Linked DNA regions of Kluyveromyces lactis. The protein of the gene in region 2 interacts with the protein of the main gene of each other region in a pairwise test. Links are inferred from orthologs where the notes say so. Each region holds a gene or a part of one and is shown on either strand. Other genes may lie near its edges.

What was found.
Region 1: the proteins of CAF40 (region 2) and MOT2 interact in binary tests that used the Saccharomyces cerevisiae proteins (3 or more experiments, as listed by UniProt). The link is inferred for Kluyveromyces lactis from reciprocal best matches to the Saccharomyces cerevisiae genes CAF40 and MOT2.
Region 3: the proteins of CAF40 (region 2) and NST1 interact in binary tests that used the Saccharomyces cerevisiae proteins (3 or more experiments, as listed by UniProt). The link is inferred for Kluyveromyces lactis from reciprocal best matches to the Saccharomyces cerevisiae genes CAF40 and NST1.
Region 4: the proteins of CAF40 (region 2) and KAR4 interact in a protein complementation assay, tested with the Saccharomyces cerevisiae proteins (2 studies listed by BioGRID). The link is inferred for Kluyveromyces lactis from reciprocal best matches to the Saccharomyces cerevisiae genes CAF40 and KAR4.

Annotation. Positions count from the first base shown.
Region 1 is NC_006039.1:702,225-709,949, reverse strand, and holds MOT2 (CCR4-NOT core ubiquitin-protein ligase subunit MOT2), read left to right. Parts: upstream 1-2,709; coding exon 2,710-4,434; downstream 4,435-7,725. Other genes in the region: KLLA0_C08063g (uncharacterized protein), read left to right, coding at 1,493-1,984; U1 snRNP complex subunit SNP1, read left to right, coding at 4,846-5,751; ARG56 (bifunctional acetylglutamate kinase/N-acetyl-gamma-glutamyl-phosphate reductase), read left to right, coding at 6,359-7,725. UniProt on the Saccharomyces cerevisiae protein: E3 ubiquitin-protein ligase component of the CCR4-NOT core complex, which in the nucleus seems to be a general transcription factor, and in the cytoplasm the major mRNA deadenylase involved in mRNA turnover.
Region 2 is NC_006041.1:1,169,221-1,176,738, reverse strand, and holds CAF40 (CCR4-NOT core subunit CAF40), read right to left. Parts: upstream 3,784-7,518; coding exon 2,518-3,783; downstream 1-2,517. Other genes in the region: SEC21 (coatomer subunit gamma), read right to left, coding at 1-2,232; PCL1 (Pcl1p), read right to left, coding at 5,752-6,600; RFC3 (replication factor C subunit 3), read right to left, coding at 7,261-7,518. UniProt on the Saccharomyces cerevisiae protein: Acts as a component of the CCR4-NOT core complex, which in the nucleus seems to be a general transcription factor, and in the cytoplasm the major mRNA deadenylase involved in mRNA turnover.
Region 3 is NC_006039.1:1,174,573-1,183,071, forward strand, and holds NST1 (Nst1p), read left to right. Parts: upstream 1-4,275; coding exon 4,276-8,175; downstream 8,176-8,499. Other genes in the region: KLLA0_C13750g (S-adenosylmethionine-dependent methyltransferase), read left to right, coding at 1-940; YVC1 (Yvc1p), read right to left, coding at 972-3,002. UniProt on the Saccharomyces cerevisiae protein: With MSL1, acts as a negative regulator of salt tolerance.
Region 4 is NC_006039.1:46,652-53,513, reverse strand, and holds KAR4 (Kar4p), read right to left. Parts: upstream 4,003-6,862; coding exon 3,031-4,002; downstream 1-3,030. Other genes in the region: SPB1 (27S pre-rRNA (guanosine2922-2'-O)-methyltransferase), read right to left, coding at 1-326; KLLA0_C00715g (uncharacterized protein), read left to right, coding at 1,327-2,844; KLLA0_C00671g (uncharacterized protein), read left to right, coding at 4,475-5,611; KLLA0_C00649g (uncharacterized protein), read right to left, coding at 5,948-6,862. UniProt on the Saccharomyces cerevisiae protein: Component of the MIS complex, a complex that mediates N6-methyladenosine (m6A) methylation of meiotic mRNAs and is required for initiation of meiosis, progression through the meiotic divisions and sporulation.

The DNA.
Region 1 (7,725 bases), on a different chromosome or scaffold from region 2:
AACCTGCTATTTGGCTGAGGAACCAAATAGAGTCAACTGAGTCAACTTTCCCCATTCATGCGAAAATGTCCGTGAATTCTTTAGAAATGGATGTAGGGAGGGGAAGAAAAACTGGAAAAACTATCACATTCGGTTTAATGGCGGATGATTCAATTCTCCCATCGTAAAAGAGGGACAACAAACAGGGTCAAAAGGATCAGGAAAAAAAATGTTTCAACCGTGTGAGCGTTCTGTGTCTTGTGTCATTCGTCCTTAGTCCGAAAGTGAAACCTTACTTTAAGTAATGGGGCAGATAATCACATAGCTATGTCGCTGTTAATCATACCCGATTATCTAGATGCAGATTAGGTGAGCTTACGGTATCAGCTCCATGGAAGGAGCCGATATATATAAATAAATATTACCCGGCTAAACGCTTATTGTCTAGTTAAAAAAAGTTATTTCCAAAAAATAACGACACCAGCAGGATTTGAACCAGCGCGGGCAGAGCCCAACAGATTTCAAGTCTGTCGCCTTAACCACTCGGCCATAGTGCCAAAATTTTGCAAATATTTCGATACTTGATTCTTATATTCTTAAAAACCTTTCATATGAGGATAAATCAGACATATCTCTTACTCTACCGAGTCGAATATGGTTTCCCGAAAACCTCTTCCATACAAGCAGTCTGACAAAACTTGCCTAATAGGCTGGAGCTCCAGATATTCAAAGAGGAACTCTCATGTTTCCATATTGCCTTAGAATAGCATGCCACTTTGAATGTTTTTTTAACACCACTCACAAATAGAGCACTACAAAAGAAGAAGTCAGGATGCCGATGTCAGCAAAAAAAGCAATTATAATTATGCGGAACGCTCCCTCAATTTTTAAGTGGTGGAAAAACTTGTTAGATAATCCGTGCGCGCAAACCATGATACGCCGCACATTTGCCTATTTGATGCAGCTTTAACCCCAGTCTTGTGATTTTCTATTCTTTACTTCGAATAACGCTACTTATTCAATGAGCAATCACTACATCACAGTATATTCATCATTTGTTGCATTCTCTTTGGCGAAGCTTGGTACCGTACACCCCAGAGTTTATTTGTGGGTACTAAATGGGTTGGTATAGAGACAAAGAGGAAGAAAAGTGGGTAGCAAAAAATTCGGTGGTGTGTTATGTGCAACCTAGCCTCATGGTGGTGTGCTATCTCTAGCTGGTTGTGTTTATTTGTACCTCTGCGGAATTAGGGTTGGATCTATGTGGAATTAGGGTTAGGGGTGTTGGAGTAAAAACACATAAGACAACAAAGGTAAAAGTGGCATATAAATAGAGGGTAAAATCCTAACTCCAAGTTTGCTAATCCTCTTTGCCGTATACCCTAAGTTTATGTGTTTTTCCTTTTTCTTGAGTGCTACCATCGGTACACAAGCATCAATTTGCAATAGTTAATACATATATTAACTTTTAACACACAGACACACTCTACATCAGAGAAGAATATTCACAGAAATGACCAAGAAGGATAAAGGACCAAAGTTTGCTAATGTCACCACCAAGTCCGGAGAAGTCGTCAAGGTGTTTGAAGATTTGAACGATTTCGAAACATTCATTAAGAACGAAACTGAAGATGAGGAATTTGATCACGTTCATTGTCATTTGAAGTACTATCCTCCATTTGTACTACACGAATCGCATGAGGATCCTGAAAAGATTAAGGATTCAGCCAATTCACATTCAAAGAAGTTTGTGAGGCATTTGCATCAGCATATCGAAAAACATTTGCTAAAGGACATCAAAGAGAGAATCAAGCTGCCTGATTTGAAGTTTAAAGACAAGGCAAAGGAAGAATCGTTTGAACACATTGTATGGAAGTATAATGATGTAACCCAGTATCACGGTAAAGATTTCGAAATCCATATTACCGTGGAGTGCCACAACGATTCGGCTATTGTAGATGTCGATTATTTGACAAAACCACTAACAGCTGCCGTCGAAGCTTAGAGACCATTGTTTTATTTTGAGTCACATGACCTCAAATTTCTCACTAAAGCATCGCGCCTTTTGAGAGATACAACGAAACAGGACCCCCAAAACGCCGTAAAAGTAACGTAGGCCTGATTTGAGCATTCCTATATATACGTAATTAGCGTGTTTAATGACTGAATGAATTTTATGATTATCTAAACATGGCTTTCTATTCCTCATACATTATGCCTTGTCAACCAACCCCTTTTATTTTATGATACAAACCCATCAGAACATTTCTTCTCACGTGACCTCATATTACGTCTTCTGAAGATACGTATCCGTTTAAAGGAAGAATTTCCAGGAAATTTTTTTTTTTTATTTCAGTTTCGATCGTTCTTTAGTTAGTTCATGGAAACTTTGTTTAAAAAATTGAAAAACTTCTTTTAAGAGTTTTATAAAAAAAATATATATGTATTTCAAATAGTGTATTTACCAAAGTTTCGAGTTGTAAACGTATGTTAAAAAAAGCATACAGGACCAAAAATAAATTCTAGAAATAATTAAGTGCTTGAGCGGAACTATTTATTGTCAATTTATCTGTCCTAGAATATACGAAGAATCATTATCGGCTGGCGAAAGAATACATCTTGGCAATTTTACACTATAAGGATAACACATTATCTGACAGCTCTGATAACAAGAAAGCACTATTTCGATACGATATACACGATACTAGACACAATACACATACGGATAAGATGAATGCCACGGCTACGGAAAATCCGCATGTTCATCAGAATCAGCATGAGATTCAGAAAGCTTTATCAAATTACGATACGTCCTTCTTATCGGATGACGAAGAGGACTTGTGTCCACTTTGTATAGAACCACTCGATGTTATGGATAAGCATTTCAAGCCTTGTCCTTGTGGATATCAGATTTGTCAGTTTTGTTATAACAATATTCGTCAAAATCCTGAGCTTAATGGTCGATGTCCGGCTTGTCGTCGAAAGTACGACGATGAAAGCGTCGAGTACATCGTTCTTTCTCCAGAAGAGTTGAAAATGGAACGTTCCAAGCAGGCCAGAAAAGAACGTGATCGTAAGCAAAGGGAGCGTGAACGTAGAGAAAATGACACTCATAATAGGAAACAGCTTGCTGGTATGAGGGTCATTCAGAAGAATTTGGTTTACGTTATTGGGTTGAATCCACCTTACCCTTACGAAGAACTTCCATCCATCTTGAGATCGGACAAGTATTTTGGCCAGTATGGAAAAATTAACAAGATCGTCATCAATAAGAAGACTGGACACGAGCACCATTCTGTTTCAAATTCATCGAGTCATATAAATTCAGGTTACGGTATTTACGTTACTTTTTCCAGAAAAGACGATGCAGCAAAATGTATTCAAGCCATAGATGGTATCTATATTGATGGACATCAAGTGAAAGCAGCATATGGTACAACAAAGTACTGCTCCTCGTATTTGAGGGGACAACCATGTCCAAATCCGAACTGTATGTTTTTACATGAACCAGGGGAAGAAGCGGATGCTTTCAACAATGCCAGGAAGGAACATGCCCATCACTCACATGCACCACCTACACTTGCTAAACCGTCTACAAGTGCAAGCTCTACGCCAAAGCTTGCTCATGCTTCATTGAGAACAGATGACTCTACTGTGCCAGCAGCTGCAACTTCAAGCTCGAAGCAAACCGCTCCTGTGCTAACACCAGCTCCAGTTCCATCTGGTTCAAACCCATGGGGTATATCTCAAGCACCCACACCAGTTTCTACTATTTTCAACAAGACTTCTACTTCTACCACTTTCCCTACGTTGTCAAGCTCCTTGGGGGAAACTCTGAACAGTCCAGGTCCAGGCACTCCTACGACCACTGGATCTGCCCCAACAGCAAACTCTTCTTCTAACGTAAGTTCGAAGAAGAAGGGCGAAAAGACATACGAGGATCCTTACGATCCAATGGCAACATGTGTTAAGTTCCTAGATCAAACTTTTAAGTTTTTATCAGATATTCCTGAAAGAAGCTACACATTCAACTCCAACTTATTGGATGACGAAACATATCAAAGTTACCCATCACTTTTTTCATTTGAGAAGATTGGATGTAGTGAGCAATCTGAAGGTGTCTTGGGTGCCAAACTATGTGATTTGCTTACTATAAAACCTGTGGACCACATGTCCTCTCTTCTGCCATTCATTCAAAACAAGGCTACACCTACCATGTTACCACCGGGAATTGCTGTCCAGCAACCACAATTAGTACAACAGCAGAAGCAGCAGCTACAGCAACAGCAATTACAGCAACAGCAACAACAGCTTTCACTGCAAATGCAACTACAAGCCCAACAAGGCATGGCGCAGCAAGGCATGGCGCAGCAAGTTATGAGCCAGCCACAAAGCAATTCTTCCGATCTACTAAATCAATTAATTCACGGTAAGAAACAGACTGCTGCCGTATAATCAGTACTCAGTATGATTCCAATAATATTTCTTTTACGAAGTTAGCATATAAATAAATATATATATTCATGTACATTCATTTATTTTTCAATATAAACCGTTCCAGGTTGTTAGATAAACAACTGTTTCAATTTCATTTTTCCAAATCAGACCTTGTAATCTACTGTCTTTCTGGGTTCTTCTTTCTGTCAAAGGCATTCACATTAAAATACATATTTTGACACACTCTTTTTAAGGTTTTTCCATCAATTATGTGAAAATTGTAACATTTAACATCTAAATAGTAAAGATGCGCCAAAAATATGGAATATAATTACATACACTTTACCTCAGCGCATACACCTTAACCTCGATACTGCGGTAAGCGCATCAATAAAGATAATATTGGCACATATCCATTCCAATTAATAGATGAAACCACAAACGAGGAAATACAACAGGCATAATGGCTTTCACACTTTGACCAAACTTCCGTCTTCAGTATCAAAGTTATTTACACAAGGTCCACCATTACCACCATCGAGAGTGAGAGTAAGGCGAAACCAGAACAAGAAATATGCACTCACTGGTGTATCAGCCGTGTTGCAACATGTTTCAGAGTATAAGAAGGCAACCCATCCCGTATCAGAGAACCAACACTTGAAAGTATATGATGAAGCCATGAACGAATCGCACAAAGAACAGGAGGAGTTGATGAAGAAAATACAAGAGTGGCACCCTGAATCAGATGCAAACATTTCTAGTGACCCCTACCGCACATTATTTGTCGGACGGTTACACTATGCCGTAGACGAAGTTGAACTACAGAAGAGTTTCGTCAAATACGGCGACATTGAATCGTGCAGAATAGTAAGAGACCAAGACGGTAAGAGCCGAGGATACGGTTTTGTGCAGTTTACCAGTTATGAAGACTCCAAACAGTGTTTCAGAGAGCTTGGTGTAAGGAAGGGAATAGAAATCATGGGCCGAACATCCATCGTTGATATAGAAAGAGGCAGAACGGTGAAATTCTTCAAACCTCGACGTCTAGGTGGAGGATTAGGAGGACGAGGTTACCAAAGGAAAGATCTCGTAAATAAATTAACTGGTGCTTCAACAAGACCGATGCATGAACATGCTAGAAGACCCATCAGAAGACACGATACCTTCGAAAGAAGAGGTCCTCCACAAGGGCATTCCCATTCTTATCAACCAACTAGTCCAATATCCTCACCTGCATCAAATTTCCAAAAAACTGCAAGTTCTAGCTACCGATCAAGGAGGGACAGATCTCGCAATGATACTTCCAATGGTTCTACAGACACATTGATGTATTGAGATGAGATAAAAAGACACATCAAATAGCACGTGATCAGAACTGCTGCAGTGATCTATATACATTTTCATATATATTCATATAAGTAGCCATACAGATGAGCCATGGCTAAATGTTATATGTACTTCCTACCATTTCTACCTCTGTTCTCATATCTACGCAGTTCTCCTACATTGTGCCCACTGGCCAAGCATAACTGAACCACTACCTCTGTATGCATGAGTAATTTCTTGATCGATGACTGATTCCAAAATAACGATGGAAAAAATTATTCCAGTCAAACAAAAAAAAAAAAAAAAATGGCAACTCAGCGAATCGCACATATAAAGAAAACCGTTTTCAGTTTCCCATTCGCTAAGTATTTCCATTAGGTATCTAAAGTATGAGTTAACTCGTAAAGTACTGAACAGCATTATTGTCTAATCGAAGTTAAGACCAGCTCTATCCATCTGCAGGACAAATTAAAGGGTTTGCAGGAAAGTGTTGATACCTGCCTTTTCAGTGATAGTGAGCCAAGCCAACTGTTTTATCTTCTTTAAAGGATTTTGATTAGATAAAGAAGAAGAAGAAGAAGAAGAAGAAGAAGAAGAAGAAGAAGAAGAAGAAAACATGTCTGTCCCATCTGCGAGATTGTTGATGTCAACGAAGGGTTTGAATCCATCTCGTTTGAGCAAAGTTGCTTCGATTTTGGCTAGATGTTCTCCTTCAATCCCAAAGAGAGTTGGTTATTCGAAAAGATTTGTTTCTAGTGCTAACGGTGTTGGATCTACTGGGACTAGATCTACGGTTATTCAATTATTGAACAATATTGGATCGAAAAGAGAAGTAGAACAATATTTGAAGTACTTCACTTCGGTTTCGCAACAGCAATTTGCTGTTATTAAAGTCGGTGGTGCTATTATCAGTGATAACTTGCAGGAATTGGCATCGTGCCTTGCATTTTTGTATCACGTTGGGTTGTACCCAATCGTCTTGCATGGTACTGGTCCTCAAGTGAACGGTAGATTGGAAGCCCAAGGTATCGAACCTGATTATATTGATGGTATTAGAATTACCGATGATCATACCATGGCTGTTGTTAGACAGTGTTTCTTGGAACAGAATTTGAAATTAGTTACTGCTTTGGAACAACTTGGTGTTCGTGCTAGACCAATTACTTCTGGTGTTTTCACCGCTGAATATTTGGATAAGGATAAGTATAAATTAGTAGGTGACATCACCTCTGTAGCTAGAGATCCAATTGAAGCTTCAATCAAGGCTGGTGTCTTACCAATTTTGACTTCGTTGGCCGAAACTCCTTCTGGTCAAATGTTGAATGTCAATGCTGATGTCGCTGCTGGTGAACTTGCTAGAGTCTTTGAACCTCTAAAAATTGTTTACTTGAATGAGAAGGGCGGTATCATTAACGGTAGCACCGGTGAGAAGGTTTCAGTGATTAACTTAGATGAAGAATACGATGAATTGATGAAGCAAAGTTGGGTCAAGTTCGGAACTAAGTTGAAAATCAAAGAAATTAAAGATTTGTTGGACTTCTTGCCAAGATCTTCGTCCGTGGCCATCATCAATGTTCAAGATTTGCAAAAAGAATTGTTCACCGATTCTGGTGCAGGTACTTTGATTAGAAGAGGCTACAAGTTAATTCGAAGATCTACTTTACAGGAATTCCCATCCTCTGACGCTTTGAGAGATATCTTACAAAGTGACCCAGACATCCAATCCGGTGCTCAATCAGTTGCTTCTTATTTGAGAGACTTGAACGAATCAGATTTCACTTCTTACGCTGATGAACCACTAGATGTTCTTGCCATTGTCAAGAAAGATTCTGTGGTGGCAAAACTAGATAAATTCCTATGTTCCCAGACCGGCTGGTTGAATAACGTCACCGATAACGTTTTCAAAGCTTTGAAACGTGACTTCCCTGCCCTACAATGGGTGATCAATGAAGATGATGCGAACATCGCTTGGCATTTCAACAA
Region 2 (7,518 bases):
TTGTTGGCATACCACTTCAACGTTATCAAGCGCAACGTCCTTCAATGTGTTAGTGATATGGAATTGTAATACAACGTGCTCGTCAAACAAATGCTTGATACCCTTCACAACGAATTCAGCTTCAATTTCCGTTAATGGGACAATCTTGGAAGAATGGATACACTTGCCAAAGGACTGGAATTGTTCCAAGGAGGACATTTCATCCACGTATTTGGACAATAGCAAATCTTCTTCTTCAGATTCCAATGAAGGTCCATTGAAGCTATTGTCATCCAATCTATCACCCTTTCTACCACCCTTTTCAGTACCGTTACCATTTCCGGCACCACTGTTGGAAGATTCTTCTGTATGGTTGAAGGCTTGCTCTTGTCTGCGTTTCAAATCCAATGCCTTCTTCTCGTCTTCGGAGTATTTGGCAACTGACGAGACGTCAAATGGAGTCTTGAATGCCTCTTGGCCTTGTGACAAATAGTGTGATAGTTTTGATTCAAGAGCAACAACGTCATAGGTAGAAGTTGGGCGAATGAAATTTTGTGCGATATTGGAAACATCTTTCTTGGACTTAACCGAATCGATGAATTGCAAAGCAATGGATGCTCTATCTCTAACTTCATCATCTGAATCAGTCTTGATTTGAGTCAATAGCTGTTCAATACTTTCTACTAACTCAGGGTCATTCTTAACAAGTGCAAATTTGGAAAGAGACAACACAGCAGCAGATCTGATGATAGAATTCTCTAGAATAACTCTATTGTAAATGTGTCTCACGTATAATGACGGGTTCTTAGTGGTTGGACCCTCCTTACCCAATAGATGTAAGATTCTAACCAATATTTCATTATATTCACAATCTTCGATGAAATCACATAATTCTTCTAAAGCTTTTTCCTTAGATTGTGGGACGAATTGAATTAAATCAATTAATGCTTCCACGACACTATTTTTGAATTGAAGACTGCCTTCGGCAGATTGTAAGGATTCCATCAAGAAATGTAATATTGTATCACATTCCTCAGGGAAATTTAGAGAAAGAGTTCTAATAGCATCAATAATGATGATCTTGAAATCGTCATTCACCTCGTGGATGAACTTGGTAATTGTCTTAATCAAAGAACCAATGTTCTTGTCGGTACCAGTCTTCAACAAGGTAGTGATTGTGTAAGTGGAAATGTTTCTGTTGCTATCGTTAACAAGAGATTCCAATTGTGGATTACATACCACAATTTTCTCTGGTGAAACCATAGAAATCTTGTTCAACAAACGCACTGCAGCAAATCTGGTTGTCACACGAGGAGTGGACAAGAATCCTTGCAAGACAGAAACCGCTGCTGCAAACAAATCGTTAGGAACCAAGTTGGATAGAGACGCAGTAAGCTTACAAGCTTCCAAAGCAACAGCCTCGTGTCTGCTTTGCAACCAATTAGCTATTAGTGGTAAGAACTGGGGGATGGAGTTAGGATCCTTCAAAACCAATTGGTGCACGAATTTAACCATTTGTACTTGAGCCAATTGATTTTTCAATGGTGAAGAATGACCGGCAAACTGTTGGATCAATTTGATCAAAGCCATCTTATCGTGATTCTTCAATTGGTACAACAAACCCAATGCATGGTATTGAGAGATATGAGACGTAGTTGGATAATATCTACTGTTCTCATCTGGATATGGCAACTGTTTCAAATCACCAACGGCTTCCTGAGTCTCATTAGCAAATCTCTTCACCGTAGTTTCAGCGATTGGTAATAAATGGTATGAACTGACCAAAGAAGCAGAACAAATAGATGGATGTTTGCTAACCAACGAATTTTTCAATAATCTTTCTGCAGAAAATGCAGTGGACTCATCCAAGACACGGATCAATGCTCTAATAGCATTAGGCTTCACTAGATCTGAACCATTTTGAACATCTTTCATAATTGAAGAAGTAGCCATCAAGATATCATCGGAGATTCCACACAATTCCTTAATAGCCACGTAAACGATTTGTCTCAAAGAATCGTTAGGGTGTTGGAACAATTTCGAAATGGAAAAGAATAAAGCAGTAGCTTCTTGTCTAGGGAAAGTCTCACCATGCGACAATAGTTCCAACAAGCTTGTGATCAGGGTACGGCACAGTTTAGGATTCACAGGAGATTCATTGAACCGATTCAAACAATCCTGATAGATCGCCATTTTGTCTGGCAAGGACCCACTGTGTGGGTCCTCAGACTTCTTATAAGTTTGTGCAGACATGCAATTGGCAGTGCTAGGATACCTTCAAATGACGTACTAACCTTTAGTAGCCAATTTTGAGCCTATTAACCTCGTGTTTTATCCAATTCTTTTTGCCGTGTGGTATGGTATATATTTATATTCATAATGTTTTCAGTTTGCAAATCGGTAGAAGTCCTTTGGAATGAAAAAAAAAGTGAAGCGGGTGTGTGAAAGTGAGGGTAACACTTGTTTTTTAATTATGATATATATGTATATATATATATATATATGGATATGGAGATATATATGATATAGCAGGCAAGATCACTGCTGCTGTTCATCTAGAGTCAGGAGTAGTTGTGCAAGACATCTCTTGGTACCTACATCGTCCTGTAGTGCTTCATTGAAGGTGTTATCTCTTAGTTGTTGCGGCAAAACTTGTTTCAACAATCTTCTGGCTTCTAAATTATCCGATAATCTTAGGTAGCATCTTACAACATGTTTCAATAATCTTCCCGGCACCTGTTGTTGGGACATGTGCTTAAACATAGTTGCCAAAACTTGTGACACCGCGTAGAACCGTTCTGGGGTCGCGCATACGAACTGGAGTCCGTTATCGTCTAATAATATTTTCTGTAAGATGAAGATAGCGACGATCTTCGAAAGTTCTGAAGAGTTTTCCATGATTCTTAAACATAATGGGATAATATCTGTCCTTAGAAGGAAACTGATCACTTCTGCAGAATCGTTTTTCACTAGAGCACCGATGACACCTAGTGAAGTTAGCCTTAAATATTCAAAAGTTCTTTGGTTTGATGTCGTAGATAAGAATGGGAAAAGGAACAACGGGATGTGAGCCTGTAAGAATTGAGGCCTGATATCTGGGTGTGATGCGACACATTGTAAGAGCACCAAAGCGTTGCATACGCGGTTTGATAACTGGTTTGATAATGCAGGAGGTGAAAGAAGCGGATAAATTGAAATTATTTCCTTTAGCAACGACGTCATCACACCGAAACTGGACCACAGCACGATAGCCAAATCCTCATACTGTTCACGTTTCTTACCTAGTTCTAGAAGCGCTTGTTCTTTGCTTGGCCCGTAAGTGAGCTGGCATATCCAATGGTAGACATTTGGATCATCTAGCGCATGTGTTATTCCTGCTGGTGTGGGACCTGGCCCAGGAACTGAACTTGGTCCTGCAGTTGGCCCTTGGCCCATCCCAGGCATCTGACCTGGAAGTTGGTTGTTTTCTACTACTGGGTGGGGCATTCCTTGTTGCAAACCAGGAGGCATATTTTGGGGTTGCTGTTGTTGCTGTTGGCCCTGGGTTTGATTTTGACCCTGAGCCTGCCCTTGAGGCTGGCCTTGACCCTGGCCTTGGTTATTTGGGAAGTAAGGTTTCAATTGTGGGAAATATTTCCTGCGGGTTTGTTCCGAGAACACATTCCCCTGAGCTTGAGCCGCTTGAGCCTGGGGTTGCTGTTGAAACATGGCAGATGATAATTGCGGGTGTTCTACCTGATGCACAAGCTGGATGATGTGTCCTTCCCTGAGACAATGCTGAATATTGCCTATTCTACATACCATATATATACAGAGATGCGAATTATCAACACTTTTAAGTTGAAAAGATGTGCTAAGTTGTGGAAACTGAGGTTGTTATGAAATCCGGGTAATAAGACAACGAAAGTTTAAACACAAAACAAAACACGCCCAGACATTGTTCAATATGACGAAACACTGAATAAAAGAAGAAGCATATTAATTATTAAGTATTAGACAATATATAAAGATGTATATTAAGTTGGTGATAGTAGGAATAATAATAGAGGAGAATGGGGTTAAGATTATAATTTGGAATGTTAGAATTACTTTAATAGTTGATTAAAAATAAAATAAAAAAAGCGGAAGCTTTTTTTGTTTTTATTTTAACTTTAGTTAAACAACTTCTTCAACTTACCCAACCATTTCTTGGAAAAAGATTGAGATTCCTTCTTGACATCTTCAGCTTTGGCTTGAGCTTGTTCTTGAGTTTCCTCAGCCTTAGCTTGAGCTTGTTCTTGAGTCTCTTCAGCTTGTTGTTGAGCTTCTTGAGCAGTTTCCTCAGCATTTTGTTGAACTTCTTCAACCTTATCTTGGATAGCTTCTCTTTGTTCTTCGATCTTGTCAGACATTGTTAACTGTATGTGTTACTTAGTTGTTGTTTCTTGCTGTTTTAAAATATGTCAGACAGAACAATTAAAATTATCCCAAAAACAACCGCCAATGGTATGGGAAAAGGCATCGCATCTTAAACTTTGTTTTCCTCTATTTATATGTGTGAAACTGGGAGTCCGGTATTAGAGCGAGGGCAAGGGATCTCAGGGATCATCCCAGCACCGAGACACGGACATTCACTCGGACATGGAAGTGGTATGACATTACATTACACGGTCCAGAGGGCTAATCCTAAAGTAGCGTAGACGTTTCCTACTTTTAGAACGCGCCCTCCGCTGCTACTGCATTTTAAGTGAATATGCGGTCCAAATTGTTGTTTTTGATTTTCATTTGATTGATGCGTTTATGGGTCTATGGGTGTATCGATGAGCTAGAATTATTTCGGTTCAAAAGACAAAACGGGGGCGGGCGCGGTTCTGTGTCCCAGACATGCTCTAAGACATAGCCCCCTTTGCATTCTGGGTGTCCTGTTGTCGAGTTTTTTCCACAACGTTCCATGGGAAAGGGCAAGCGAAGGGAAGAAAAAAAAATTTTTTTTCTTACTACAATGGGAAGTTGATTTCCCATTGTAAGGTGTGCGGCATTACCCGGGGATTGTCTCGTGTGGAAGACATTCGCCCTCGGACAATTACTGGAAGTGGCAATAACGACGCGGATAGCGGTGTTCCCGGTTGGCGCTATATAACACGCAGCTTTGAGGGTTGTTTACGTCACGTGATGGTGTACCATCACGTGATACTCTTTTTCTTATATTTTGTATGGAACGGATTTTTGGCATCACGTGACATTGGCTATCATATCAAAGAAACGGCCTCTAGCGAGGCCGTTGCTCCTAGTACGGTTTCTTAAATACAGTTTTCTTAAATACAAACTTGCAGGCCTCTCAGTAAACGTTCCTCAGAAATTTGGGTATACTTAATGCTTCAGAGTGCTAGAGTACATTTTAGCACGTTCAGACTGGTGCACAGCGTTTCTCTCGTCTTTGGAACCTCAAGACGCAATATACTTATCGCGACCTTGTTACTGATGTGCCTTCAACACTAACTCCAACATCGCCCGATGTTGGTAGTTGTTGCCTGCTCTTTTCAGCTTCATATATATCTGTAAAATGCTCATTAACAAGTAATATATGTACTTAGTGCAGAGGACCTGCCTCTATTTATACAAATTTAGGAAGTGAAAAATTTTTGCTTGGGAAAAGTTACCCGGGACAGTAGATGTAAAGAAATCCGTTTCCATATTGATTATAGGGCATCGCCTAATGCGATGAGCCATGCTAGGTGACCAAGGGCACACACACCCCTTGTTATCTAGCACTATTATATTTAAAAGCTACTGTTATGTGTATATTGTAGGGTCGGTGTGCTGTACCGGCCGTACAGTGTTATAGTACCGAGGATCCATCGTATACTTCTTGTAGTTCATTTCCTCGGTGTATGTCGGAGATGACAGTGTCGATGATGACGACGACGATGACGATTCGTATTCCTTCAGTATATCCAAACTGTTAATGGATCCACTCCTGCTGTTCCCTAGCAGTGTAGCAGTGCTGGAACATGCAGAAAGGTTGCGTTGATGGTAGTAGAATTGAGATGCTTTCTGTTGAGCTTGAGCCTTGGCTCTTTGTCTCGTCTTGTTGATCTGGGCACCTCTCTCCAAATCTCTTCTGATTGGGTTGGCTAAATCATACAAGTTGTCCCATAGCTCTTCAGATTCGACTCTCAAGTCCCATTCAAACAATTGTAACAGTTGTCTTTCCATTAGGTTCACATCGCGCAAGGTGAACATCCCATCTGTGTACTTGGTCCAATGCTTGTTCAATGGGGAGGAATCGTTGTGGTATTTGGCACTGAGAATCAAACAGGCTAGGAAAATTCTATGGCATGTAGTAGGCAGACCAGCTGCATCGGAGGGCAACAACTCCCTCAATCTGTTTAGGTATACCACGGTGGTCAACAACGTGGATGTGTAAACGTTCGTGTACCGTACTAATCTCGAAATGAACGTCATTAGACTGGGTACTCCATTGTGGTTCTTACTGGATGGAGTGCCCGGTGGTGAAGGTGGGTATCTTTGGTTTCTGTTCTGTGTAGGAATCACTCTCAAAGCGTGATCAGTTAAAAATTTGATCATATCATCGCTCACTGGTGAATCGAACAGAATTTCCAAACTCTTCTTCTTGAACATGCTTAGACTTTATAGGCTTGTTGGGCTCTTACGATATGCTCCCAAAATTGTGCCTAACATGACAGGCAGTACTGGAAGATGCTTCATCCTTCCGATCCTAATCTCTCTTTTATATATGTTTGAACCTTCGCGAGTCTCCAGGTTACACATTTATCAATGCGCCAAAAAAGGCACGCTGCCATTGTCTACTTACAGTAAATACATCAATGCGGTGGTACCTGATACCCAAAACTATGCGATCTTGGAATAGTAATTTTATTTCGTGATCTTCAGAATCCAATTCACCCGTTGTCCTTCTGATCTAACCGTACTTCAAGCTGCATCAGTTATCAAGACGACCAAGGAAAGAAAAATGCTAATTAAAACACAATCAAGTAATGTAATTTCCAAAACTATAAAACTGACACTTTTTTTTCGTGGTCCCCATTGAAAATCTACCCATATCTAAACTCTATACATGCATTAAGTACCGTATCCGTTAAAACTTCTTTTCGTTCGAGACGAAACTTCGCGTTTTGCTTCTCTCTCGACACCGTTAAATCAACGAAAAAACGGGAAAGAAAAAGTTACACTATTTCGTGATTTCGCAGTCGCAGCATGTCACATGGTATATAGATCCGGTATACGTCTGACTAGTTTACTTATTGTGTGCATACATTGTCACACCTCTAATTCCATGCACTGTTTTATCGTTCCGATGGTTGCACTGGTCTGGATCGAATCGGTACCACCTCTTGAGATCGAATATTCGATATCACTTAGTCTAGATAGAAGTTCAATTCTGGTTTGAGGTTTCAGTTCATATTGTTCCAGTAGGCCCGCGATCCCCTCAATCATGTCAATAAGTGCTAAGCCCTTTGTGATTCTGATTTTGTTCACGGTGTATGTAGTGGTAGTCCAGTCGTCCTTGAGAATTGA
Region 3 (8,499 bases), on a different chromosome or scaffold from region 2:
ATTAAATAGTGATCCAAACTTATGGGCTCAACCCAGCGGCACAGATATGAGAAAAACAATCTCAATGCTTAATCAGATAGCAAGAGAATGGTCAACGCATTGTGAAGAGGAAAGGGATCAATTTTTACTGTTGCTAACAGAATTTTTAGAAGAAAAGTTTCCAAGCGACCGTAATACAATCAAAATATTAATTCCTGGCGCAGGCTTGGGTCGTCTAGCTGTAGAGATGGTCCGGTTGGGTTTTAATACTGAGGCCAATGAAGTCTCATACCATATGCTAATGAATAGCCAGTTTATCATGGATGGAGGTCTTCAAAAGGAACAGATCGCTCTTTTTCCATTTGTGCATTCATTTTCTCATCACATTAATAGGGCAGAGCAGCTACGGCAAGTAAACATTCCAGATATGAATATAGTCGAGGAAGTTGGGGGCAATGGACTTCTTTCCATGGTAGCAGGATCCTTTCCGGATCTGTATGGACCAAATGTCAATATTAAACAATCAGAATCCTATTCCAATTCGGCATATATCAGGGAAGTTAGGGCAGCAAATAGAGGTAGTAAGCACGTCGTCATCACCAATTTCTTCATTGATACATGCTCTAATATCTTAGATTATTTGGAAACAATTACTCATGTTTTGAAAGTTGATGGTTACTGGATTAATTTTGGACCCTTCATGTATCATTTTGAACAAGATCATCAAACTGAGATGACTGCCGATTTTGATGCATATACGGGGGAATTATCGAACATATTAGATACCCCCTTAAGGGGAATAGAATTGAGTCATGAAGATATTCTTGAAGTGGCAACTACTCACTTTCCGTTCAAATTATTGAAACAACAAACCAATATTTCGTCCAGTTACGGCACTAATAAGCTAGATATATCAATGTTAGGTTACCAATGTTCATTTTGGGTTCTACAGAAAACATAAACATTTATTGATTTTATACAATCTGGAGTACTCAATCATTTTTGATCTTCATTTCTTTAATTAATTCAGTTAATTGATTTATAGTTGTGGTGAGCGTCTCTATCTTTTCTTCGGCTTTCTGCTGTTGATCGTTCAATTCTTTGAAGATTTTATAAGACTCCCAACCTATACCAGTCTCATAACCTTCGCTTACTGGCTGTACGACAGTCTTCACTTCGCTAAACCAACCCTTGTCAACCGGGAACCTAGGATCAACTTCTTCTGCCTCTCTTTGAGCGAGGAGTGCCCTTTCATTTTTCTTTTGCGTCATCCTGTAGCTGTTCTCGAAATCAGAGTCCAAAATGTTAGCTTCCTCTTCTAAGAATCCGTCAGTTAGATCCCAAGCTACATCATTTTCATTAGCATCATCTGGTAATTTATTGAGTCTATTGTACACTATCCTTCTGGCTTGAATGGTTTCAAATATAGAAATATAGCACAACAAGGGTGAGTATATCAGCGTCATCACAAAGCTGGATAGATACTTACCTTGTGTTTTTGGTAGCATCCAGATTATAGGAGTAATACAAATCTCTATCAAATTCAAAGGTGGAACATAGACATCTTCGTCTGGAGCTCTGATGTATCTTAAGGTCTTTTGAGCCATCAATGCTAAATATTCATCTGTGACATTATCAATTACTTTTTGATATGCACTCGAGTACAACGCAATCAATATATTCAAGAGAATTATAGTGACAATGAAACAGTAACTGTAATATAGGATAGCTGCATAAGGAGGGGCAAACCTTTCGAACATATCAAACCCACCATCGCCCAAAATAGTAGTGAAGAGGTTTGATAATATTGGCCATGTAATCTCGCGCCTTCCATCTGCCGAATCTAGTCCTAGGAACCCCTGTAAAAATCCAATCATTATCAAAATTAATAAAGAGAAGAAGTAAATGGACTCCCGCATCATATGTGCCAATACCACCAATAACGCACCAACAAATCTTTCAGATTCCAAATATAGTAACAAACGAGACCATACCAATGGCGCTGCACATGCTAAAATTCTATACGAAACAATATCCCAGTGCTCTGATGGTAAATCAGCCTTCCATGGGCACACACTAATGATACGAATAACGATAGAACATATGATAATTGAAAACATAAAATCATGATATACGTTCCAAAAACCAATGTACGCCCATCCAACATGATAACACTTGACTAATTCGTCGAGTGCATGACCCAGTGTGAACACATAAAACAGGGATTCCCAAAATCCTATCGGTTGAACATTTACAGAGTCTTTTTGATTTACGACAACCGTGAAAAGTACCAAATATAATAGCGAGAAGATGATCTGCAATAAATTTTGGTAGATGGGAGCACGTAATCTCTCAGGCGTGAAATGCTTGGAAACTTCACAGGATGGCACAACGGGGGAAAGGATGTACGTTTCAGGATTGAGTTTATTCTGCACGATCCAACCTCTCCACAACCATTTCAAACAACGTTGGTATCCAGAAGAACCGATAACAATAGTACAATGCATATCCATGGCTAATTCAAGTGCGGAAATTGGGGAAGAATCGCAGTCATTTTCATTAATGACGTACCGACGTAGTAGTAATTGCATAAATGTGTAGTGATGATCCTCGAATTCAGTTTCCTCAATGATCAATTTCGAAAGCTGCTGGGCAGTTACAGCCCTCATATTATAGAGTTCTGAGTTGTGTAGCTCCGATTCAGCCAGTCCCCAATACCATCCACATACTTTTAACAAGGCGAATACAATGACAGATTCGTATTTCCTAACAGAGGCGCGGTCCTTTCTGTCCCCACCGCAAGCTGCTCTGGCCAATTTAATTACTTTCGCATTGAGGATTCTTGAGTGTTCACACGTTACAATATTCTCCTCGTATGTAATGGGAATCACTTCATCTATAAGATACTTTAAATTGGTTGCTATGCGTAGAATTTGTCTTGAATTAGGGGAAGTATAATTTGATGTATTTGCAGGATCAATCCAGTACTGTTGGGAAGTACTTGGAAGCACAGAAGACTGCATCGCTGCTGACCGGGAGTAATTTATCACTGGCAGATACGCAGGTGGAGTGTGCGACTCTCACTAAACAGAACGGGATGGTTAAATAAATGTACAGCAGAAATATTCTTGGGAAATATCACAGGGACAATAGCTTTTCAAGTTTTGTTTGAGTAGAAAAAGAAAGAAATCATAAACGGCTGTAGATAGTCTTGATGTATCTCGTGCACGTGACCAACAAATTTATCTTAAAAACATGAAATTGCTTAAAAGGATGCACTAGGAAGAGTTAATATGTGGCTTGTTAAACCTATAGTTAGTCAGTATTGTTAATCTCTTGTATATTTGGTCAACCAGGGGTATTTTGTTTTAGCTGGAATCTTGAGGAAGGAGGCGTGCAATTAAAGATAGCGAATCAGAGGACCTTTTATGCGGAGCCAATCTTACTTTAAGCAGTGACATAGAGATATCTCAGGATCATTCGAATCATTTATTAAATATAGAAACGACATAACGGCAATTTAAAGAGTGATCATTTCATCAAACCATAAATGTCACATCAAAGCAGCACTGTATTAACCAAGTTCTCTCGCATTGATCCTGTCATTATCGATTATCGGTAAGCAGGCCTAGAACTCCTTTTCATCCAGCTCTTCATCTTCCGAACTTTAGCCGCCGAAGTTCAAAATATAATTCGAAAACTCCTTCCTTCCAAATCTCTCTTTTTATATAGCACTAAGTAAATATATACGTGTAATTGAGTAACCCTAAGTGAGCGAAGAAAGTACTCATCTCAGACCAGCACGTGATTATTTACCCGCACATTTGCTATTACGTATTACCCGGTTCCGTTATCTCCGTACTTTGTATCTTCCATTTTTTTCATTGTTCACTATGGCTTGCTTGATACGGCACTGAGTGAAATTTTGGAAATCTGGTTTCTTCTCATAGTAAGGAGTTTGAAATTTGAAAAAGCCTTTGAATTCTATCTCATCTGGTTTTTAATAGTGATTCTTTCTTTGTATATAGAAAATTTGGAAATTTAAAATATTGGAATAATGCAAATAAAATGGATATAAAACAAAAATTTGTATAGTGTGTAGTTAAGGAAAGTAAAGTAAAAAGAGGAGTGTAGTTGATATTGAAAGCCGAAACCGGACCAAAGTGCTGCAACTAGTGAAAGAATCTCTAGATCAAAGTTTGGAAAGTATTTACAAGCATCCTTTTACAGTCTTTTTTACTAAAGGTAGTTAAAGAATTAGTGGAAGGATTTAAAGTATCACAGAGAGACTCACAAATGGTGGCACATAAGAAGAGTAAGAAGAAGAGTAAGAAGCAGCATGGTTCTGCGGGTGAAAAGGAATTGCATGAATCGAAGATTCACGCAGAAATCATCGATGATGAAGCAGAGTACCCTACCTCTCGTGTGATCAAAAGAGCCCCAAACGGAGATGTCATAGTGGAATCACTTCCGGAAGAGGAATCATTAGACAGATCAGAACTAAACCAGGATCATCGTTCTGGTAGCAGCAGTAGCAGCACTAATAGTGGCGGTGTTACAAATACTGCAGACTGCAATGCCGATGCTGATAATGAAGAAGTCGAGGATACTAAATGGCCAATCAAGTTAGATACCCATTGGGAATCTTTGTCATTGGAAGAGAGAAGGAATATTCTACGGATAAGCAAAGACGAATTGTTTGATATGATCAAATCGTATAAGAATATGCATAATTGTGATTGTAGCATGTGTGGCCGTCATAACAACCTGAATATAGAGCAAGAAATTGAACAGATATATTGCGAACTTTACGATAGTGCAAGGGAAGAAGATTCAGATACAGATTTTGTACAGTTCCACTTAAAGCTAATAAAAGAATATCAGAATGGTAGTAATAATACACATCACCATATGCGTCACCATGGGGACAAACAGGATTCCAATATTTGTCATGAGAACTTTGCCCATAACGATAACGACGATAATAATGATTCAACGAATAAAAATGCCTTTTTATCTAGCATACTTCCGAAAGAGAAAAATGCTAGCACTTCAGAAAATGAATGTACAAATGATTTCCTCGATTCATTAAGCGAAGATTCAGCCATAAAGTATTGTCTTTCAGAAGGAGCGATAGGGCTGGATAAATCATATCAAGTTGACTTCCTTGGTAAAGAAGAAGTTGATTCAAATATGGACACCATTCCGAACAGTGATAATAAAACGCAGACTGCTTTGGATTGGAAACACGAAATCGAACAATTTAAAAGTAGCAAACAGAAGCAGGTATCTGAGTCTACAACAGGTAAAGAAGCTCTCCCTCCTATCAATGACATAGATAATACTAATGAGGTTATCCCCGAACATGATGAGTTTGACTCTAAGCTTCTCCATTTTGCCAAAACTGTAGTATCTTCTCATCCGCATATTGCCGAGGAATTCATCAACAGAGCTATGATGTATCCCCACATTAAAGCTATAACTGAGGATATGATGAATAATGAAGGTGAAGGTTTGAAAAGAGCTATGGAAAGTCTTGTTCTACAACAGGAACTTCAAGATTGGAGGGAAAACATGGCCGTTTCAATTGAGAAGAAGATCTATGAAATGGACCCCACTGAACCTGTTATAGATGTATCAGAATCCGACAGTCACGAAAATGAAAGGGTGAATGGACCAGCAAATGCTTTAGAAGAAAATAACAAAAAAGACGTTATTGAATCAGACTCTCTGGATAGACCTTCGTTGGTTGATAACAATAAAGTGGATTCTCTGATAGACAGTATTCCGTTTAAATTTGTTAAAGATCCTAAAGCGGTTGCATCGCTGAAAAATGCATTCTATGATATCTTCACTAATAAGACGAGACGCTCTGAAATTGACCAAGACGATAAAGAATATAAAGAAGAACTAGAACGTTTACGTAATGAAATTTCAGCGGACGAAGACCAAGCATCTTATGAGTGGTCCAACGATGAGTATGAAGAAAGCAACGATCATGATGAAGATGCAGAGGGCTATGTTGATGACGAATGTATCGATGATCATCACCTCGATTCTGGCTACGATGATGAAAATGAGGATGAAGATATCATATATGATGACCTACATGAAAACGTGAAACTGAATGAGGACCCTTCTGCTGTGCCAAATGGACACACTCAACTGATTCATCACGACAATTCTGTCACCTCAAATGTATCTGAAGATGGTATAGATGATAATTATGATAGTGAGCTTGATCATGCCGAGCGTTTAGAAGAAGGTAGAAGGCTTATACAGATCGCAATAACTAAATTACTCCAAAAAAAGCTTATCGCTTCCTATCAAGAGAAAGAGGCTGAAAAGAACAGAGAACGATTATTGATGGAACTCGAAGCTGAAGAAAATCAGAAGAAGGAGAAGGAGAAGAAGAAACTAAAGAAGAAGGAGAAGGAGAAGGAGAAAAAACGTCAACAACAACTGGCAAAGGAAGAAGAAAAGAAGAGGCAAGAAGAAGAAGAAATCAGGTTAAAGAAAGAAGCTGAGGAAAAGGAGATTGCTCGAAGAGAAGCTCAGAGGAAAAAAGTTGAAGAAGCTAAACGCAAGAATGATGAGAAACGTAAGAAAAAGTTAGCGGAGCAAAGACGTCGGGAAGAAGAACAAGAGCGCATTCGTAAAGAAAAGGAGGAACAAAAGAGACAGCGCGAAGAAGAACAAAAACAAAAGAAAATGGAAAAGGAAAGAAAACAGCGTGAATTTGAAGAACAACGCCTTTTGAAGAAGAAGGAAGCAGAACAGCTTCAAAAACTAAAGGAAAATCAAAAATTGAATGAGAAGTCAATGCAAAAAAATCAAGACACAACAACCGAAGGTGTTCCTTACGGATCCGTTTCAACCAATCCTCTACAGAATAATTCAACGTTGAATGATGACATTTTCAACATGATCAATGAAGTTTCTAAATCATTGTCGTCTTCACCTTCGCGGAATCAAAACGACTTGCTTGGTTCATCTGTGTTATCGAATGTAGATCACCAAGGTGGATTGAACGCAGGCAATGTGTTCATTCCACCTTCTCTTTCCATGTCAGAAATGTCCCCTCATGCTCAGGCTGGATTTAATACGTTAGGTTCAAGCTTGCAACCGAATTTGTTGAACGGATGGGATCAACAATCGTCCACGCAAGCTTATTATCATGCCAACCAGCCCTCTTCTTCAGAAGCTCCGGGATTACTTCCATTGTCGCATGGCGGATCGTCTTCGAAGTTTTCTTCCTTTGCAGACACAACTGTTGATGTTACCGATGACGTTAATAATTTGACCAGTTTCTTGAAAGATACTACAATTAACGATATCTCACTCGGTTCAACTAGTAGTATTCCGGCACAAAATCTGGATCCTGTTAACATGGCACCACGTCCGCAATCTGCTGTTTACAACCAACCAAATCTTTGGAACAATGATCCAAATCAAAGGCTCTCAAACTTTGGTCAACAGCACGTTCAACAGAACCCAATCTCCTCGTCACACTCTCAACCAAGAAGATCTATTTGGGATACTGGAGCTGAAAATACCTTTGGTGTTGCCTCTGCTAACAATTTTGCTTCGAATATCTGGGATACACCTACATCTACTCCAGCACTTCCGAACACCCTGCTATCTTCCCAAGTTGCAGCAACATCTGTTGACTCATATGAGGAAGTCCTAGCCAAGACCTATAAGATGCTTTCTCCAGACAATAGTTTCGTTCCCTTGGACAAGCTATATCAAACATCATTGACTCAAATTAATGCCAAATCAGTACTGTCGTATCCCCAATTCATTTCCACTTTGGTTTCCATGAAGAATTCATACAATACTGAACTTTTGAATGATAACACGGGTTTATTGGCGTACTGCAGAATGGGTTCTGTTCCAGTACCATCAGGATTGCCTTCTTATAATAGACAAAATACTTTCCCTCATGCAACCACTCAAGTTCAGTCAGATTCGCAGCAAATAAACTCAGTTTCAACTCCTATATCGAACCCGCTACCTCAACCATCATCGGTATTTAACGATGTTCATTACAACCAAACAGCTACTACTTCACCAGCGAATCACGGGAATCCAATTCCAGGCCCAACGTCAACAATCGCATCAGATCCTTCGAACTTCGTGAACTTTGGTCAATCGTATCCAAACTCATATCAAACCGGCAATATCTGGAGCTGAATCATCCGATCCAACTAAATTATTTAAACGAGTGGATAGAAAAGAGAACATATCCGTTAAAATTTATTCCTTCTTCGTTTTACGTAGAACTGTAACGTCCAATATAAATGTAACAACACTATTATCTTTTTTTTTTCAATCAGACACCATCAATTGATAGATCATCATTGAATATTTGAACTCATTCAAAAACAGGGCTATAATTAATTTTAATAACTAAGCATAGTCCTATCTATTACACTGTCTCATTGATCACTTCTTCCTTTCTTTTTCGGGCTTCTACTGCTCGGCGGAACATGACAGACATTAATATGATATCATTTC
Region 4 (6,862 bases), on a different chromosome or scaffold from region 2:
ATGTACCCTCTTAATTTCGATCTACAATCTTCCGTTGTGATATCACTTTGGAAAGTAATAACGTTTGGCATAGTTTTCATCGGAACAATATCGACACCAATAATCAAGGAGTTAACAGGACACAAGTTGGAAGCCACTTGACACCAGGAACCTGGTGCAGCACATAAATCGATAACGACCTTCGACTTCTCCAAAAAATGTCCATACTTTTCATTGATTTGAATGATTTTGAAGGAAGAACGAGCTCTGTAGCCCTTTTCCTTAGCAAGGTAATAGTACTTATCTAAACGACCTTTGGAATTCTTCTTTTGCGTCTTCTTACCCATCTTGGTCTTCTCGGTAATGTATGGTGACCTATTCACTCAAGTCTAAAAGAGAACAGGATATCAGAAAGCAAATAAACAACAGTTGTAACCTGTTCAACGTTCAACTAATCTCTTCTCATCTCATCTCATCTCATCTCATCGCTAGACCAATTTCTCAAATAAAAAATTGTCACTCTTCTCACAAATAATGAAAAATTATCTGAAAAAGAAATAATTTTGGATGCGGTGTTCGGGTTAAGAATGCTCGCGGTACCAGGTATGGAAACACCGGACACTGTACTGGAGGAACTGCCAGCTTTGATGCTATGCACGGTTTCCACTGTTAAAATAACGAGCAGTAAAAAATCTGTTTGGACGTGTTATCATGGATATTGATATTACTGTAACAACACAAGACTTATATAGAGGGCCCTTAGCGTTCCACAGTTTTAAATAAGGAATATGATTTCGGTTTTTTTTCAACCATTAGCACTGCCAACGTTTACAAATAATTATGCAACGCTCTCAGGCTATAAGGGTACCGATGCTTATAATATTTCTGCAAGATTATAGGTATGGGTAGTTACTACTATTGCTACTGCTGATCATACCATAGGCTAAATAAATTTATGACCGCCTCTCGAAATAGAGATGCATTCTATGGCCCTCTCGGTCCATTGGCAGTAACTGCAATCTTATATCCAATTATCACACAACATAATGGTTCCCGCTTATACGTAGGTGTATATATAGCCTAATTCATCCGGGTTCAGTATCACTATATTTGGCCAGAATATCTGCGTATTGTACATTCCAGCCAGTAGAACGATACACGTTACAGACAGAGAAAAAAGGAAGAAGAAAAGCATTCCAAAATAAAACTGCAAAAATCAAAAATCCTTTCAAGTACTTACTTACTTGATTAATTTATGGTTGTATGAGATACTTGTACATAAAGTATTGTTTAATTCAATTGCGCAAGATATCAATCTAGTATCCACTGCGTTGAATACACGGGAAGATGAGTAAGTATTCATTTGAAACGATTCAGTTTAAGGAGACTCCTCCGGCGGAAACTCCTGAACCAGTGAATTCCAAATATGGCGTGAAAACGACAGCATCACCAGCTATTAAGAACGCTCCATTGCCTGCAGAGGGACCTTCTTCCAGACACTTTTCCAATTGGTTATTATTCTCCTTGCTCGGTGGTATTCCTTACTATGTAACAAGGAAAGTTGGGGGAGGTCTCAAAACCTTCTTGTTCTTTGCCGTACTGTTTGCTATCCCAATTTTAATGGCCTTTTGGACAATTGCATCCACTTACTCTCCTCGTTTGAATGAGAAATGCAAATTACCAGGAAAACCAATTGAGTACTATTTGACCTTCCATGATGATGCTTTGAAGGAAAAATACCACGGTAAGAAAATTCCTATGGAGACTTTCCACGAACTGTTTTTCGCTAATAAGGTCTCTTTCAACTTTGATGCTTTGGAAGTGATGGAGTACAGACATGACTGGGCTCAATTCTCTTTTACTCTATCACTTTTCAAGTTCTTCTTGCTTGGTATGATTCCAGAAGTTATTATGCACACCAGATCTCAAGATGAAGAACAAGTCAGAGATCATTATGACCGTGGTGATGACTTTTACTCTTGGTTCCTTGGTCCAAGAATGGTTTATACCAGTGGTTTGATCTCAGATATTGAAAAGGAAGAAAGCTTGGAGCAGTTACAAGACAACAAATTGAAAACTGTCTGTGACAAGATCGACTTAAAGCCAGGTGAATATTTATTGGATTTGGGATGCGGCTGGGGGACCTTGGCGACCTATGCATCCAAAATTTATGGCGCAAAGGTTACAGGTATCACTTTAGGTAGAAATCAAACCAAATGGGGTAACGATAAACTCGATTTGCAAGGGATCGACAACGAACAATCGCGGATTCTATGTAAGGATTACAGAGATACTCCATTGGCCACTGAGGACGGTAAGAAATATGATAAAATTACATGTTTGGAAATGGCTGAACACGTTGGTATCAGGAAATTCGGTTCTTTCTTGCAACAAGTGTACGACATGTTGGAAGATGATGGTTTATTCTACTTACAATACGCCGGATTGAGAAAGCCATGGCAATACGAAGATTTGATCTGGGGTCTTTTCATGAACAAGTATATTTTCCCTGGTGCTGACGCTTCTACACCGTTAGATTTTGTCGTTTCAAAATTAGAAGCTACTGGATTTGAGGTCGTTTCGATTGATAATATCGGTGTTGATTACTCCGCAACTTTATGGAGATGGTACAGAAACTGGATTGGCCATAAGGACGATGTTGTCAACAAGTATGGGATGAGATGGTACAGAATCTGGGAATTTTTCCTAGCATACTCCACTATTATTTCCAGACAGGGCTCTGCCACCTGTTTCCAAATTGTCTTGAGAAAGAATTTGAACGCTTACCATAGAATTAACTATGTACCAAAACAAAAAGGTTTATTGACTCCAATCAAGGAAGGTGTTGAACAATGGTTCAAATGAATAAAATGCCTTTAACTGATGTTTTTATTCATTCAAAATAACCGGCCGATTTTGGGAATGGAGATTGTATTGATAATGACCACAGTGACTAGACATAAAACACATGACACATATCGTATGCCTCGTTCAAATCAAGACCTTAGCCCTTCTGAATGCAAATTAGAAATTACAAGCTTATATATACCATCAATTTTTAATAGATATTGGAGATTTTGGTCTTAATGACTCTATGGAGGGATCTTTTGGCAGGTTCGATCCAACTCTTCCAACCTCATTTTTATATTCCATAGCGTTGAAGTTGTCTAGCAGTACATCTGGACCCATGATAACCCAACCAGGTCTCATCCGGATTGGTGTTTCACTTCCTGTTCTGGCGGGAACGATATGAAGTCTCCTTGTAGCGGTGCTAAAATTCTCTGCTACCTTGTACAATTGATTCGGAATTGCCCCAACTTTACTATTTTTTGATTCGATTGCTAAATCGGTATCAATGTTGCAATGTATGAGATGGCCATCCGTGGCTCTTCTTACTGTTCCTGTGATACACATCCAACAATGCCATTGCATCTTTTCAAAAAGTGACTCGTCGTCTGCTTCTAATCCGGGGTAAAATGGTGAATTCTTGTTGACAGGGACGAAAACCAACTCCTCACTTCTGCGAAACTTTTTTGCCCATATTTCGTTGTTCAAAAGTCTTGAAAGCTCATTGATCTTCTGTGCACTTCCCCATACAAATAAAAACCCTGGCTTTGATATCAATTTATGTATCGGTAACTGAGTTAAAAGGGGATAGATAAATTGATTATCAGTCAAGCAACCAATCATGACAACATCGAAAGTTAAACCATCTTTTTGTACCCAATCATTTAATGTGGGAACTATTTCATCAAGCTCTACCTTGCAACCAAATGGTTTTGTATTAAACTGCATTACCTGCCTTTCCTTCAGGCTAAATAGCCTCTGCAACTTCGGATATCCATCAACAGTATTCTCAATGTTTCTTACGTGGGTTTGGGGAAGCGATCCAGTATGTATATAGTTATTTGAATGATCATTCGTGTGAAACTCATTTGCAGGCCTAAGTGTGACATGTTCTCTCGCTACGCTCTTACTCGAATTCCCCTTTTTCTGATATATTTCCTCTAAAACCGCCGACATTTCAGCAGCCAGTTATAGTTTTATCCTGAGAAAAGTACTAGAAATAAGTGTATACTTGAAACAAAAGTGCTTTCCATATGAGTATAAATACTACTGTGTGAAATTGGGTTTTAGCAGATGATGCCTTGTACTAGCACTAGAAATGTGTCTTTTAATTGTTACTCATAAGAATATTTTGCCGCCGTTTATAAAGGATTTTCATTCTTGACATATGTTCGCGTTTTCCGTTAGAATGAAAGTTTCAATCTGAAACTATCAGTGACAAAAAGAAGCGTCAAAACAAAAAAAGAAAAAAATTATTTTCTTCGCTGTCGCAGGTTTATGTCAAGCCTTTTGGTTCAACAGACACTAGGAATAACAGCAGATTTGAATTTCCTGTCACAAAATGTTTGGTTTGGGTTTGACCTGTGTTTTGAATTACAGCATTTGATATTTCCTGTTCGAGAACGTATTATCTTCAAAAATATAGAGCATGCACACGATACACGCAGTCGATAGTGAGATTGGCATGTTATATAGTATCTCTTCTGGGGAAAAAGATCTATCTAAAAAGTCTAATGATCTTTTAGAAAACGTTGGACGGTACACTGAAAACTTAGTCATAGATTTGAATGTACTTCGAGAAATCCAAGTTATCAATGATACTATTCTAAAATCAGAAGCTTTTTTGGAAGCAGTAGTTGTGCAGAACGGTGGTGAAAACCCTGTGTTCCAGTATTTGCATGATATCGAAACAAAAAGCAAGGGTCCTTTTGACCCAGAAAGCAGATCAATTATGCAAGAGATAGTTTATAAAACTGTTTCGAGTAGGTTTGAGTTCAACAAGATATGGTTACCAAAATTTTTCCTGAAAGTACCAAAGTCATTCAGTGCAGGTGTAATTTTGCAAGAACAATTTTTGGTAAGTTTATGGGATACATTAGATGATGATATGTTTTTGACATTTGTGAACGTTTGCTGTTCGATGCTTCGAGAAGTTAGCGATCATGAAATGATAGCACTATTGCGATTAATTACAGAATATAATACCACCAGAGATCTCAAAGAGGTATTCGCTGTGATATTTCAAGTTTTTTCAGATACCACTGAGATTGTTGGGAAAATAATCCAGGATTTGGATGGGACATTATATCATAGAACATTGACTTTTATTGGATACTTAATATCAGGTGATAGCAGATTTATAACACTTTTGTTTTTAGAACAATGCGACGCCATTGTGCCAAAGATGGAAAACATACTTCTTCTTCAGGAGCTATTAATTGATTTGAATATTTCCGCAGTTCCTTTGCCTAACCACCTGAGGTCATTGAAATTGAGTTCTATGTGGTATACTTTTAGTGAAAACTCACTTTTTTGGGCAGTCTTTCAGCGTTTAAATTCTGACTTTAATAAAGCGGCAAAAGAATTGGCTTATCAATTAGTAGTGAGGATTTTTGAATATAGCGGTGGAAGAATTGTAGCTTTGTGGAATGATGATCTTCAAACTGTAATTCCACGGTCAGTTTCAGCAAATCTTGCAGAGTCTATCGAGATTAAGTACATAGGGTCCCTATATGGTACATTAAAACTTTTAGCACTCACAAGTGGGATGCAGTATATTGTTTAGGAACCTCAAGGGCACACGCTTGGAAACTCGATTGTAATTAAGCCGAAAAAATAAATGATGCAGGTAAAAGTATATCTTTATATAAGACAAGTAGATGATAAATCAAAACCAAGTTGTAAATAAAAATATGATATAATGATTTTTTTTCTAGTGAATTGAATAGAAAAGTTCCCCATTGAACAAAAGTGTTCCCATAATGAAGTGAAAAAAATACAGCTGATGACAAACACGAAAAAATTTTGGAAAGGTAAAGTTATATTCACCCATTGACAGATGAACTTGCATACGGTCAGAAATAACATGCGTTAGCGTTAAGCAGAAAGAAGTGGCTTTAGTTCACGATTCGTTATACCATCTTCCTTCTTCTAACTCCTCTATAACCGATTCTACCAACTCATCATCATCCTCTTCTTCCATCATTTCAACAGCATTGTATTTGATCATGTCCCACCGATTCCAAAATAGAACACAATCTTGAAATTGCACCGAATCCACGGTCTGTTCCAAAGAATGCTTAGCCTTAGTTAAACGATCTTTTAGTGATTGTAGTTCTTTTGAATCAGGCAGATTAGAAACCTTACGATATTCGCAGTCAGTTTCGGCGTCCGTACTAGATTTATAACCCGAATCGCTTTCACTGCCGGAAGTTTCAGAATCTGATACAGGGGAGACATATCCATATGGGTAAAGTTGATTCTCAGCTGAAGACGTCGTGTCGCAATATCTTGCCCAAACTTCATCAATGGATTGGACAATGTAATCGAAACAACGTTCTCTTGCCAGCAGATCAGACTGAGGAACAACACACGAAGAATGTCTCGACAAAGGTCTTGGGATTGACGTTGTTAAATAATTTGCAGTGGATGCAGTACTGGAAAACATATTTGGATCAGTTGACTCCTTCTCCACACCAGTGTTATCACTGTTTACAGTAGAAAAGTCTGAGGTATCATTGACGGTACTGGCTGCATTCTTGATATCAAGTTTGGAATTCAACGTAAATGCATCACTGCATGATGCCGGGCAATTGACTATTTCGGCTAATGCTCTGGGGTTTGGAAAGTGAAGATTAGCCTTCCTTGAAGGATGCACTACTGAATCGAAATCGATAGAAGAATAGCCGGTATCATTGCAATCATCTTCGGAATCTACAGGGCTAGAATATTCAGCAGTGACTTTGTAACGACCACCATTTAATTTGGCTCGTTTTTGTTGCAAAATGAATGGTGCATTATGTGTACCACCAGATCC